2 linked regions of the Canis lupus familiaris genome follow. The protein of the gene in region 2 purifies or fractionates together with the protein of the main gene of each other region. This does not show direct contact. Links are inferred from orthologs where the notes say so. Each region holds a gene or a part of one and is shown on either strand. Other genes may lie near its edges.

Evidence for each region.
Region 1: the proteins of GEMIN5 (region 2) and SNRNP70 purify together in Homo sapiens (affinity purification with mass spectrometry; 4 studies listed by BioGRID and IntAct, counting the BioPlex papers as one, with this or other methods). This does not show direct contact. The link is inferred for Canis lupus familiaris from reciprocal best matches to the Homo sapiens genes GEMIN5 and SNRNP70.

Annotation. Positions count from the first base shown.
Region 1 is NC_049222.1:108,017,718-108,022,872, forward strand, and holds part of SNRNP70 (U1 small nuclear ribonucleoprotein 70 kDa), read right to left. Parts: intron 4,586-5,155; coding exon 4,504-4,585; intron 1,258-4,503; coding exon 1,156-1,257; intron 1-1,155. UniProt on the Homo sapiens protein: Component of the spliceosomal U1 snRNP, which is essential for recognition of the pre-mRNA 5' splice-site and the subsequent assembly of the spliceosome. SNRNP70 binds to the loop I region of U1-snRNA.
Region 2 is NC_049225.1:55,757,472-55,765,715, reverse strand, and holds the start of GEMIN5 (gem-associated protein 5), read right to left. Parts: upstream 4,659-8,244; 5' UTR 4,569-4,658; coding exon 4,403-4,568; intron 3,609-4,402; coding exon 3,448-3,608; intron 2,745-3,447; coding exon 2,563-2,744; intron 1-2,562. Other genes in the region: MRPL22 (39S ribosomal protein L22, mitochondrial), read left to right, coding at 5,986-6,013, 6,096-6,138. UniProt on the Homo sapiens protein: The SMN complex catalyzes the assembly of small nuclear ribonucleoproteins (snRNPs), the building blocks of the spliceosome, and thereby plays an important role in the splicing of cellular pre-mRNAs.

The sequences.
Region 1 (5,155 bases), on a different chromosome or scaffold from region 2:
TACTTTTCCACAGATATATACTGGGTCAGGATGTAGTAAGTACTGCTATGCCAAAGTCTGAATGCCAAATGAACTACAAGATTCTGCGATTCCAGGATTCTACAACAGAAAATAGCAGACTATGAAAAACTCACTCCACCCTCAAGAAATGAAGGCGATAAGAACCTATTACTGTTCCAAGACTCGGCAGGTGAGTGTGTGGTCTACGCTGCACAGGCAAGTCCAGGGTGACCATCTTTCTTAGAGAACTGTCACTCACCCCTGCAGGAGTAGGTCCTTAACATGCATGTTTAGATGGCAGGACAGCAGCCCCAGGTCCAGGCCCAATGAAGAGCCACTCAGATCCAACCCCCCGGAAGTATAGACTCACCAAGACTAGGTGTAGCACTCATGGGGCCAGTGCAGGGAAACACAGAAGAGACCAGTCTGCACAGACAGCAGACAAGGTGGAAGCAAGCTGCTGCAATGGCAAAGGTGGCTCCTGACAAGCTTAAAATCTAGCTACCAGGTCCTCGAGGCCCACTGGCATCACACATCTCTGGCCTCCAAAGGACCTCCAGGATTCTCTATCAATAAGGCTCCCTTTATGTTTTAAAAACCTCAAATGTATTTCCAATACTTACAACCAAACTGATTTTAACACAGTAACAATCAGAGAGAGACACAGGCCATCTGTCTTGCTCCTGACTAAAAATGTGGTACATAGCTGGTAATCAAAGAATAAACAAATGAGCAAGAATCAAGAATAAGTAGATGAGAGAGTGATATTTACAAGCCCCGTCACATGCCACATGCCAAGCTAGGCATCTAGGCATCTGGTATGCTGAGCTCCGTGAACTCTTGAGGTTAGCCCCAATTTCTACAATAAGGAAAATGAAGCAGGGAAATCCACCAACTAGTAAGTACACAAGCTGACATTTGATCCCACACTCGCCTCTCCAGACAGTGCTCCCACTCCTAATCAGTAAACCAGAATGAGAAGTCAGCCACCAGGAACGATAATGATGGTGACAAGAGAAGAGGAGCTGGAGGAAGCAAGGGAGGACGTGATGAGCGGCCAGGAAAGCAAAAAGGAGAAGGGAAGACAGCAAGCAGCAGAGGATGCATAAGAGAGTACAGGCCCACCAAGGCTCAGCCAGGGCAGGAAGTGCTCACCTAGCCGCCGGGGCCGCCAGCCCTTCACAGTTCGGCCCCTCTCCACGTCCACAAGGACTCTCCGGCCATCAATCTTCTTGCCGTCTGCGTGCTTGTAAGCGGCTGCAACAGATGCGGGGAGGGGGAAGGGGGAGGAGTCCCCAGAGGGTCCTCTAGTCAGGACAGTGCCCAGCTCTGCAGCATCCCCACCCTCACGTCCCCATCAACACACTGTGCACACACACGTGCGTGCACGCGCGCATACACACACACACACGCACACCAGCCAGCCAGTCAAAACTGACAGCCAGACCAACCCTCTCCCAAACCAGGAGGGGCCTGCTCCATCTCGGCACCTGTGTATTATCCCCCAATGACGGTTGTGGGGAGCAAGACGACCCAACCACCCTCTCCTGGGCTCCCAGGCCCTTCCCTACTCCCATTCGACGGAGCAGCCCCCTCCTGCCCAGGCGGCCAAAGATGCTGCAAAGAAACTGGAGGTTAACTTAAGGCTGGACTCTGCTGTGGGGGAGGGCTCCTCCACAACCCCAGGCATGCACCCTAAAACATCATGCTGGGGGAGGAGGCCCAGCTGGGCCGCTCTGCACCCCAGTTCACACCGGTTTTCCTTTTTGCTTTTTTTTTTTTTTGGGGGGGGGGGGCGGAGGTGAGCGTGGGGAGAACAGACATCAGAACAGAAAATGAACCAGAAAAGGGTGGGAGAAATCTTTAGGAGATGACAGGGAGCAGAAGGGTGGGTTATGGTGCTCCCAGGGGGCCTGGAGGGGCCCCCCTACAGCAGCTAGGGCAGAGGGAAAGTGGAGGAAGGTATGGGAGGCGTGCGGTGCTACTGACAATTCCTGCCTTACCTGAGCCGACTGACTGCCACCCAATCCCAGCCCCCATTCCATCTCTCCCTCCACACCCCCAGCTCAACACAAGCTGGGCTGGGAGGCCAACCCCAGCCGGAGCCTCTTGGGAAGGGTGAGGAGTAGAGGGAGAGATTCAGGAAGAGGCATATTCCTGCTCTTGGGCAGGGCACAGCGATGGGCAGGCCCAATCCCAGGCCTGTCTCCCATGGGGCATCAGGAGGGCAAAAAAAGTCCGTTTCCCACCCCCAGCCCTGGCCTAGGGGGTTGTCCTCAACCAACCACAATACCCTGCCCCGCCCCAGCCCTCTCCCCCCCAAATAACAACCAGAGGAAGAGAAAAAGGTGCCATTTACCGATGCCGGCCTTGCGGGTGTCCAAACCGAGCGGGATGGGGGGGGCTCGGCAACTCCTGGGGGCCTGGCGAGGAGGCGGGCTTCCCGGGGGGGGACACGGGACCGCTTACCTGGAGCCCCCAAGCTTACCTGAGCACGCGCACAGACCCCACACCCACCACCATAGGGTCAGCTAAAGCTACAGGGAAGGGAAATGGGGGGGTTCTAGGGAGCCACAGAGAGGGAGAGGAACCACATCTCCTGCACCACCTAGAGACAGGCAGAGGCAGTGGTGGACCCCAAAGAAACCTCATGGAGGCCTTGAAAGAGGGGGAGACAAGGATTAACATCAAGTCTAGGAGCTGGTAATGCCCTGGAACTAGCTTGTTGTATTTAAAAAGAAGGCTGGGGAGGCCTTAGCAAAACTGTTGGCCCTCACCTTTCCCAGTAAAGTCCACACTGAACTAGGCACACGCCCCACCCTCCTCGCAGCACATGGAAGGACTTCTCCACTTTGGATTCCACACTCCCTCCCACCACCTGCCACTCAAAGGCTGGCACATAAGGGACAGCCTGGGGGTGGGGGGTCCAGGAGATGGAGTGCTGCCCGTGATCTGGAGGAGGGGCCACTTGGCCCCCCCAAACCCAGAGGAGGGTATTACGGGAAAGGGATTTAAGGACCGGGAGCACAGTCAAGCAAAGGAACCCTGCTCTGGTTCAATGTCCCAAACCCCAGAAGAGGCCCAACCCAGGAGTACCAACAAAGAAATCATGTGACATGTGTACTTCTAGGCTTCTCTTTCTCTCCCTCTCTTAGGTCTCTAGACAGTGGAAGGGTCCTAAGTAAAATCTACAACACCATCAGCTACTTGCAGCCTGTCACTCAATCCCTCCCTCACCCCAATCCCCAATTCCATGCACTCTGCAGAGCCGCTGGGCACCACAGCCCTCTTGGTAGGCCTCAACCATGATAAGGCAGACAGAAAATGGGCACAGCAACCCGAGTCTAGCAACCAAAAAGATTCTCCAGGGCCACTACAGTGACAGCCCCACAGAAGAATGGGGGCAGGCAGCAAAGGGTTGAAGGGTTCCACACGTAGCCCTCACCCTCGTGCATCCCGTTTCAGTATTCCTGTAACCTTGCCGCTGACATCGTGAAGCCAGGTAAGTCAGGGGTGGGGTGGAGCCCAGTTGGAGAGGCCAGCAGCCTTTCCCATCAGGGTTCATCCTTTCCTTCCTGGGATCAGCAAGATTATCAGAGAGCATATGTGGATTGGGGGGAAGGGGTGGCAGAAGGGACAAGGGGCACCCAAACCAGGAAAGGGCTGTGGGTGCGGGAAGGCTGAGGGGGCGACTGGGGATGGGAAGAGGGACGCCTCACTGCTCCTGAGCTGCCTGGCTAAGCTGGGCTGGTGTGCGGTGCTGAGTGATCTTACCCATGATACAAACCCTTATACCAACCATACACTGAGGTGTTGTAAGGGGAGCGTAAGCATCAGCTGCAAGCCAGCTGCGTGGTGGCTGCAGTGACAATAAGAACAGTCAATTAATACGGCGGCCCCTGGACACGCCGCAGCCCTGCCCGCCCCCACCCACCCATCCCTGCCCATGTGGACGCCGCCGCAGCCTCAAAGGGGGCTTTGGAGATGGGGGGGCAGGCGCTGAACACGCCTACCAACCCACTGCCCGCTGAGGAACAGGGTGGGGGGCCAGGGGTGGGGAGGCAGAGGGTCGGGTGGCCCAGCCCCAGCTCTGCTGGGGGGGAAGAGAGGGCAGGTTCAAAGGCCAGTCCTCATTCCAACCTGGCCGCCCCCAATTCTGGTGGGGGGAATGGGGAGAGGCTCCCCGAACATCCGACCCCTTCCCCCAACCTCCAGCTGGCCCCAGCCCCCACCCAGTTCCCTCCTTGCCCCTGAGGTTCAACGTGTGACACTTACCTCCCCAGGTTCACACACACACACACGTTGTGGGGGATTTTGGTTTTTGTTTTTTAAAAAACACGTATATAAAAAAAAAAAAGATATATCAGAAACAGAGGGAGGAGGAGAAGAGACATCGCTAATGTCAGGTTTGGCAGGGTGGGGGGTGGGGACAGACGACGGGAAGGGGCTGGGCAGCATAGAGAGAGAGGGTCAGAGGGCAGGGCTCAGGCCTGAGGTACTCACAATGCATGTCTCGCTCATGTTCATACTCGATGAAGGCATAGCCGCGGGGCTTTCCTGACCGCTTACTGTAGACCATGTGTATCTGGGGGGAGGCGGGCAAAGATTAGTTCTCAGGCAAGGAAATCCCACCCATTCAATCGCAGAGCCTGCGTGCCAGGCCCTGGGCTAGCTCCTGCCAGCGACAGATGTCTCAGACCCCTCTCCCTGTCCTCAAGAGCCCAGAGTGACTAATGCTCTCATCATACTGGGCTCAGCAGTGTTTGTGCACAATGATCTCCAGCCATCACTACTGCCCAGAGCACTCCAGTGACTTCAAGAATTCAAGACATGTCAGTTAAACATAAAGCCTTGCTCTAAAATGAGAATCAGCACACACATTTATACTTTGTCTCTAAAGGGCCAGACAACAGATATTTTCAGCTCAGAGGGCCTTACAATCTGTCCAATTACCGGACTGCCTTACACCAACAGCAGTCACAGACGATAGTGAACAAATGGGCTTGACTGGTTACCAATAAACCTTTATTTACAAATAGTTTGTAGTCTGCTGACCCATACCCTAAATCAACAAAAAAGCAGCTGTTACTTCCTAATTTTACTCCTGCTACCCCAAGGTCTGCTGCATAGAAATGTAGTCAATTTGGGGATCCCT
Region 2 (8,244 bases):
CCTATCATTTTTTTAAAATTCAGAGGACACCGAGAAATTCTAATAGCTTTAAAAAAAAAATAGATGAGTATTTCATACACATAAAGAAGTATCTATCAACCAGCTTAAAGGAAAAAAAAAAAAAACAAACCCAATTATCAAGATGGTTAAAGTCCTTTATACAACCCACCCCAATCAAACTTCTCTCTCTCTCTTCCCCAGAGGTAAACTGCTATTCGTGAATTTCTGTTCCATCATTCCTAGCCTTTCTTTGTCTATGTTCCTAAAGACAATTGAAAATGATTCTGTGTATTTTAAAACTTCATATAAATGGTATCATGCAGTCTGTTTTTCTGTAACTTGTTTTTTTCCCACTTATTGTTAGCGAGTCATTGATGTGGATGCATGTAACTCTGGTTCCTAGTCAGTCACTTACACTATTGGATGGCACTCCACTGTGTGACTATAACACAAATTTACTCATTTTTCCATTTAGAGGGCTTCCGTTTATTACTATTACAAACAAAACAAAACAAAAATGCCATTAATAATCTTATGCACACTTAAGACAATTTCAGATTTAATGCATAGTAGTGGAACTGCCAGGATGTAAGATGTATACATCTTTGCTTTGCTAGAAGTACAAACTGCACTCCAAAGTTGGGTGTACCTCCTTACATTTCCTACACACTAGATAGTCCTATAGGGAAAAACACCATTACACTCCTTTAATAAAAGGAGAAACTTTTATTAAAAACATTTTCCCATTACAGCCTTACTTAAAAAAAAAAAAAAATGAAATCATACATCAATCTTTGCAGACATGGACTTCGAAAACCCAACAAGTTTTGCAACCTAACAGTCAAGTGACCAAGCTGTTCTTCATTTTTAATCAGCCTTTCAGGAAATGATTGCCATTTGGAAGAGCCTCTAAAAACAAATCATTCTGATTCAATCCTCTGTGCAGTTCCCTCTACCTGAAAGATTTCTTCTTTTCTTGTGGATTCTTGCTCATCTTTCAAGGTCAGTTTGATCCTACCTTCTTTGATCCCTGCCTACCACCCATTCTGCTCTTCCTCTAGCTCTCCCACTGTAACGCTGCTCACTTCACCCAGCAGACCACCGATCCACAGACTCCTCCCATTTTCACTATTACGCACACATACCTGTTTTCCTATCCTTCCCCTCATGCTTCATTATCACTCCTTTAAAAACACCCTTAGCAGCTTTGTCCTGTCTCTTTCAGAAGTATTTACTCCACAAAACTTCAAATCTTGTCAAATCCAACCATACCCTTTCTCAGTTTGAATAGTTTACTTTGAATTCATGATTTTGATTCAGAGCTTGGCCTCAATACGGACCACTGGACCTACAATTTCTCTCAGTAAGCTCATTTTTTTATTCTCTGAGATGACTATTTTTACATCTTCCTGCGTGCTCCCAGCCCCACTTTGAATTTGACTCTACCTTTCTGACTTATGATTCACAGAGAAAATCAGAAGACATCAGAATGAAATACCTTCCTCGGGACAACTGGGTGGCTCAGGGCCTGATCCCAGATTCCCAAGATGGAATCCCACATCAGGCTCCTTGCATGGAGCCTGCTTCTCCTCTCTCTGCCTCTCTTTCTGTGTCTCCCACGAATAATAAATATAATCTTTAAAAAAACCCAAAAACATCTTAAAAAAAAAACCCCGACAACAAACACCTTCCTCTTCCAGCCAGATCTACAAACCCACCTGCAACTATTTCCATTTCCATATTCTCACTTGTCCTTTCTACTTGTGATCTGGATACAATCCCTCTTGACTTCTCATATCACTCCTGTATTTATTACCATTTCTCCATGCAACCAGCTTTTCCTCTTCCATCAGCATAAAAATATGCCCTATTATCTTCCATTTAATATTCCCTTTACTACCATGTACCTCCTCTGGCTTCATGTCTATGCACATTTGTACAAAAAACAAAAGTCTCCATGTGTATCTTGACTACTGTACCCCAGTCTCTTGAATTCACTCCAACTAGACTTCTCCTCTGGCATTCTAGTGCTTATGTCAAATATCCAAACTAGAGTGATAAGACATCTTTGGGAGAGTAGTAGATGGAGCGGTGAGGAAAAGGGTGGTGCCCATTCAGGCAGTTTATGTGAAATAATCCTGGTGATCGAGGCGGAGGCAGCGCCCAATGCCAGACTACTGTCCCAATCCAGAGGGAGAGCTGCGAACAGGGACAGAGTTAAGTCCTCTGACATTCTGAGAGTAAATGTTATCTCCAAGAGCAAATATTGAGAGAGGAAAGGGGAGAAAGAGGGTATTTCCTACATTTGGAGGCTAGCTGAAGAAATCAGATGTGAAGAATGAGGAAAGTACACTATTGTAGAAATTAAAGAAATAAAAACAGAGAGAGTGAGAAGGACAGTAAGGACCTGGAAGTCACAGGAATAAATGATACCATGGGCTCAGGGAATGGTTAATACCTATACATGGCTTCCTCTGAGGAATAAGGAAGAGAAGATAAAGCAAATGCAAAATATGCTCATTAACAAAAACAAATTACCAGTACAGATGACACAGTACTTACCCAATGGCTACTAAATCTTCATGATGAGGTGAGCAAGTAAGACAGAAAATTGTCCTGGGTTCTATAAAGAGGTGCTGGCTGTCATTTCGGTTAAGCCAGTAACAGAAAACTACTCCTTTTTCATCTCCAGATACTATTAAATCCTTTACTTGAGGAGACCAATGCAGTGCTGATATTGTATGCTTTAAAACAAAACAAAAATACATTGCTTTTCATTTGTCAGTGCTGAATTTTTACTTCATTTTTAACTTGTATAATACTAGGCACATTGATATGTACTTAATAAATACCGTTAGTACCACTTGTATACCAAGACTACATTAACCAAATGGTAGAAGAATTTAAGCTCCTAAGGATTAAAGAACTATTTAAAAACATTTCTTCCTTTAGCTTAATTGAAAGTTCTTACTAAGATTGAGTCTTTTTCTTTTCTACATTCTCTCAAAAGGTAGGCTTAGTAAGTAATCATCTGGTTTAGAAACAAATTTCATTCATTTACAGTTTATGTCAGGAGTCTTTTCCATGTTAAAAAACCAGATTGTAGACATTTTAGACTTTGTGTGCCATACTGTCTCTGGTACAACTACTCTGCTGTTGTAGTATGCAAGCAGCCAATACTTAAATGAATGACTGAGGGTGTGTTCCAATAAAACCAATTTGCAAAAACAGGCAGCACAGTAGTTTGCTGACCTCTGGTTTATATGTATCTCCTTCCAAAAAAGTTTTGAGGCATCTTACAATTTATATATAGAATATAGAGCTTCTCATCCAAATAATGGACATTATTATAAAAGTTAACTTGCACAGATGAGTTAGCGTACTTGAAACAAAAGAACCCTCAGCAAATATATAATAATGGTCTGAGAAACCGGTAAGCCACAGTACCTGATGGAGTGCATGTTCTGTCACAACTGTTTTTGTTTCCGCATCCCAGATTTTCACAGTTCCATCATCAGAGCTGGTGGCGCAGAGGTTGTATTGACCCGGATGATGAGAAAATGTGAAGCCAGAGACCCTTTCGGTGTGTCCCACCAACTCCCCTACGACTTCAAGCAAAACCGGACTTCAGGTTAGAGTGCTACCTAAGATTCCTGGGAGGATCATACTGATGTTAGACGAGTGGGACTTCACTTATCCCATGGCATAACAAAAATATCCAGGCACTCACAATCAGAAATCCCAAGTGCTGGTTCTGGCTCTGCCACGGGACTTCAGCCCAGTCATTTTATCTCCTTGAGCCTCACTCTTTTCAGCCGTAAAATGCTGCTGATATCCCTTGTTGTTCACAGTTCACAGGCTGAGGAGCGGCTCAAATGAAGAATGTAAAAGTGATTCTTATTTAAACGTGGCCCAGAGGTCATTTGGGAAAGAATAAATAACTGGCTTGCCATGTCCCAAGGCAAAATCTAAACCTAGCTTGGAGCCTGAAAGCATCTGGCTCAACTCATTCATCTTCAAGAAACAGGTATCATCTATTTCCAGGACGTTGTTCAGGGCCTGGAGCTGTAGACAGCCCCGGAACGCAGGGAGGCTCCCAGGGGACAGTGTGCGCTGCGTCGGGGAGGGAGGCCACAGAGGTTATCAACGCCTGGCTCCATAAAGGGGTAACTCGAGGGAGCGAGCGGTTCTACGCGAGAGCGCCAGGAGGCGGGGCCGCGCAGCCACAGCGTGGTATGGTAACTCAATCCTGGAGACGCGGACGCAACTCAGCCCGGTATCCTTCTGCCAACCTGGGCCTCAGTTTCCCCACCTGCAGGGAAGGGTGCCTAGAAACTCTCCCTCGGCGCCTACGACGAACCCAACAAGGGCAGGAGGGCGGGGGCTCAAAGCGGGGAGTTACCTCGAAATGGGGGCGTCCCAGGGATCGCGCCAGCGCTTGGGCCCACGCGCACAAGGAAGACGGAGGTCCGCGCTGCGAAGCCGAAGAGGCCCCCGGGCACCGCATCGCTGCAGCGGGCGCAGTACCAGTTAGGAGAGGGCGGCAGCGTGCGCGGCTCCTGTCCCATGATCACGGCCCAGCAGGGACGAACGAAGGAACCCCAGGAGCAGACCGTTCGCAGCCCCACGCCGCAGCCGGGAAGGGGGCGGGGCTGGCTCGGAGCCCCGCCTCGCCGGGCCCGCCGCTACGGCGCGCGCCGAGGCCCAGGCCGCACCGCGAGCGCCGCTCCCGCCGCCGCCGCCGCCGCCGCCGCCGCCGGGCTGGGAGGGGCGGCCGCGCGCGCGGGGCTCTGCCTGCCGCCGCCGCCGCCCGGGGCCAGGAGTCCCGGTGCTGCCGAGCCCAGCCTGGGGGTCAGGCTTTCTCACCTCCCACAGCAAAGTACTAATTAAAGCGTTAGACTGACTAGTGGAGTCACCTCGACCAGCCGTTTTAAGTTTTTAATTTTTGAATAGTTCAGCCACTATTCCGTCAAGTAGTTGTGAACGCTCTGTGCCAGGGTACTTCGCTAGCTCCGGAGATTCTGCAGAGACCTGCAACAAGCCAGTTAACCAAAAGATAAACGTTCGAATCAAATCAAAAAAGACCGGAAGAGTTAGTTTCTGCAACCGCGAGGAAATTCTGGCCCTAGAGTCTTCGGACTCAAAGAGGAGCAGAATCGCGTGACTTGATGGGGTGCCGGCTCCGTGAAGGGCGATGTGTGTGGAGCTGCGGGCTCCGCGCCCCGGCTCTCCTGGGGTATGTGGCAGCCCTGAACGGGGACGAACGACGCCGGAGATCTCTCCTAACGGGGAGAGGCCACGCATGTTTTTGAATGTGGGTAGGGGCACCAGTTTGGGAGGCATCCAGGCCGAGGCTGAATCAGTGGTTTTGCCGGTTGTTGTTGGAGATACCTTAACCTGTCCCAATCTGCTTTCTCACTTGCAGGAAGGTGATAACCCATGCCTGGTCGGATTGCTGTGAGGAATTCACAGATTTAGTGAAACGCCTGCCCGGCATATGAGTATTGATTTATCTCTTGTAGATCAACCTGGAGATTAGCATAGGGATTAGGACATCATACTCTATATTTGAGCTGTTTGTTCTTTGAAAGAGCTTTCCACACGATCTCTAGTGATCTTCACAACAAGCCTGTGCCGCTTTTCTGTTTTGCTGAGGAAACAGGTCCACCCACGTTAGGTGGCTTGTTCACCGTCTCTTGTCCTACTCTTTCTGGCCACGTGTGAGGGGAGGTTTCTCAATTTTTCTGGATCTCCATGAATGTCCGTACACTCTCAGTCTTCGGCCTGTGTTAAAGTCACTCACTCCCAGGCAAAGGTGTCCGGCTCACACCTCAGGCGCGGGCGGCGCGTTCGCGGTCCCCAGGACGGCACCCGGGGCGGGAGTACTGCCGGGTCTCGCGCGGGGGCAGACAACCTGAGAACTGCGCATGCGCGTGGTCCCGGCAGTGCGTGAACTCGGAGGCTTCCGTAGAGGGAGGGAGGAAGATGGCGGCGGCAACGCTGGAGCGCTTGGGTAGGGATTTCTGAGCGGTTTAGGCGCCGTAGGAGGGAATGGAGGTGGAAATCGGAACTGACTGCTTGTGTTGATGTTTCAGGTGCATCATGGATGCCGAACCTGCGGAGGAAGCTGGCCTTAGGGTAAGTCTTTTCACCCCGGAGTTGCAGAGGACTCAAGGACTCCTTACCGGGTTGTCAGTTAATTCCTGGGCGCCTGTGTGCCACCCTCGGCCCTTAGGTTCTGTGGCTGTGGAAACGAACGGGACAGCCAGTCTACTTGGTCACTCCATCTTTCCGCCGCCGTGCTGCATGGCTCCGACGGAATCAGGATAACCGGTTATTCAAGGGACATTGTGAATCTCTTTTCTGGACAGTCTCTGAGCATGGTTAACGCTTTTCCCAACGGTGTTGGGAGCGTCCGACTTTTCTAGTTCCCTCTCGTTCCTGCTTACCATGAGCAGGGGCTGTATCGGAGACAACCGCGCTTTACAATGTATCTAGCGTCGTGTTAAACGCCTTATATGCTTGATCTCATTCTCATAACATCTTTCATAGTGTAGGTATTGCTACACCCATTTTTCAGACAAGGAAATTGAAGCTCCTCAAAGTAAAATGACTTGCCTAAGGCTGCCCTAGTCATAGGAAATTTTAAAGCTTTATACTATATTCTCCAGAGTATTCTTAGACCCCAGAACAAAAGTTTTTTCGTTAGGGAAATGCAGTTAAGTCAGGAATGGCAAGGAGCCTTTCTCTGTCACCTTCTTCTTGTCTGTCTTCCCCTCTTCTGCAGTACAGCTGTTGATATTTGGAGATTGATGATCTGGCGCATTTGTTGGAACTTATTTTGGCTTAGTTCATAGGCTTTCGGAAACCGATAAGTTGGGTGTGAATCCACTTTTTAAACCGTTTGATTTTGGAAAGATTACTTATCTTTCCTGAGTTTTTGTATTTAAATATGCGAGGAGAGTAATATTAGTACCTATGCCTTGGATTTTTTATGAGGATTAAATGAGGTAATGTATACGAAGTGTTTAGCATAGTGCATAGCATATAACAATCCCACCCTAAATTCTAGCTGCTATTACTGTTTTTTTTTTTTTTTTTTTTATCATTATAAGCTATTACTGAGTTCCCATTATATTTAGCTGTTTCCAGTTCCTGGGTCAGGGGAATGAACAGGTGGGCTAAAGAAGAAAATGGGAGGCACTGCTCCTTAGGATTTGTCTGCAATTTGCTTTTCAAGATTTTCTTTATCTTTTATCATCCCACCCTAGTATGGGATGACTTACTTACTTTTTCTGAATATGCTGTCTATTTATTTGCTTCTTGGCGTTCATCCTGTGCCTTCACTTCCTGTCTATATAGGAGTTCTAATTATTTAAAACCCTGTTCAGATGTTTCTTCTTTAGGAGATTTCTCAGATCTCACTGAGAAGGAAGGAAATTAATCCCTCCTTCCTTTTAGCATGCTTGTCTTCATAGTGGCTTCATGTTATGTCTCTGTGCTCTTTACTAGCTTGTATACTCTGGATAGGTAGGGATACTTCTTGTTTCTCTTTATAGTTCCAGGATGGAGTTTTGCACAAAGAATATTTTTTAATGATTGTTGACCTAAATTGTCCTGCACTGACTTGTACTTAGAAGCTCTGAGCAAGCAACTTCAGCAGTTTAGTTTTGGTCTTTTCATCTATGTAATACAGGAGAGTTCGATTTTGTTGGATAATCCCTAAGGCTCTTTTTAGTTTTGAAGTTATATAATTTTATGAATCTCTATTTTGGGCTTTATTATTATAATTTTAAAAGATAGATTTATTTTAGAGAGGAGTGGAAGAGGGAGAGGGAGAGTGAATCCCAAGCAGATCCCCACTGAGCAGGGACTGTGAGGCCAGGTTCTATCCCAGGACACTGACATCAAGATCTGAGCCAAAATCAAGAGTCAGACACTTAATTGACTGAGCCACACAGGCTCCCTAAAAATCTGGCTTGCTAACTATCCACATGTTTATGACATGGTAACAGGAACCTTTTGGAACCGGGAAGTCATGTTCTTTAGTCTGCAAAAACCTCTCCCCTCCGCCCCTGCCCCATCACTTTAGCTAATAGTGACTTTCAGCTGGGGCCAGTTTTGCCCCCACTCCCTACCTCAAATCCCCTGAGACATTTGCCAATTTCTGGGGACATTTTTGGTTGTCACAACTCAGGCAGGGGGTGCTGCTGCCATTTAGTGGCTAGAGGTGAGGAATTCTGC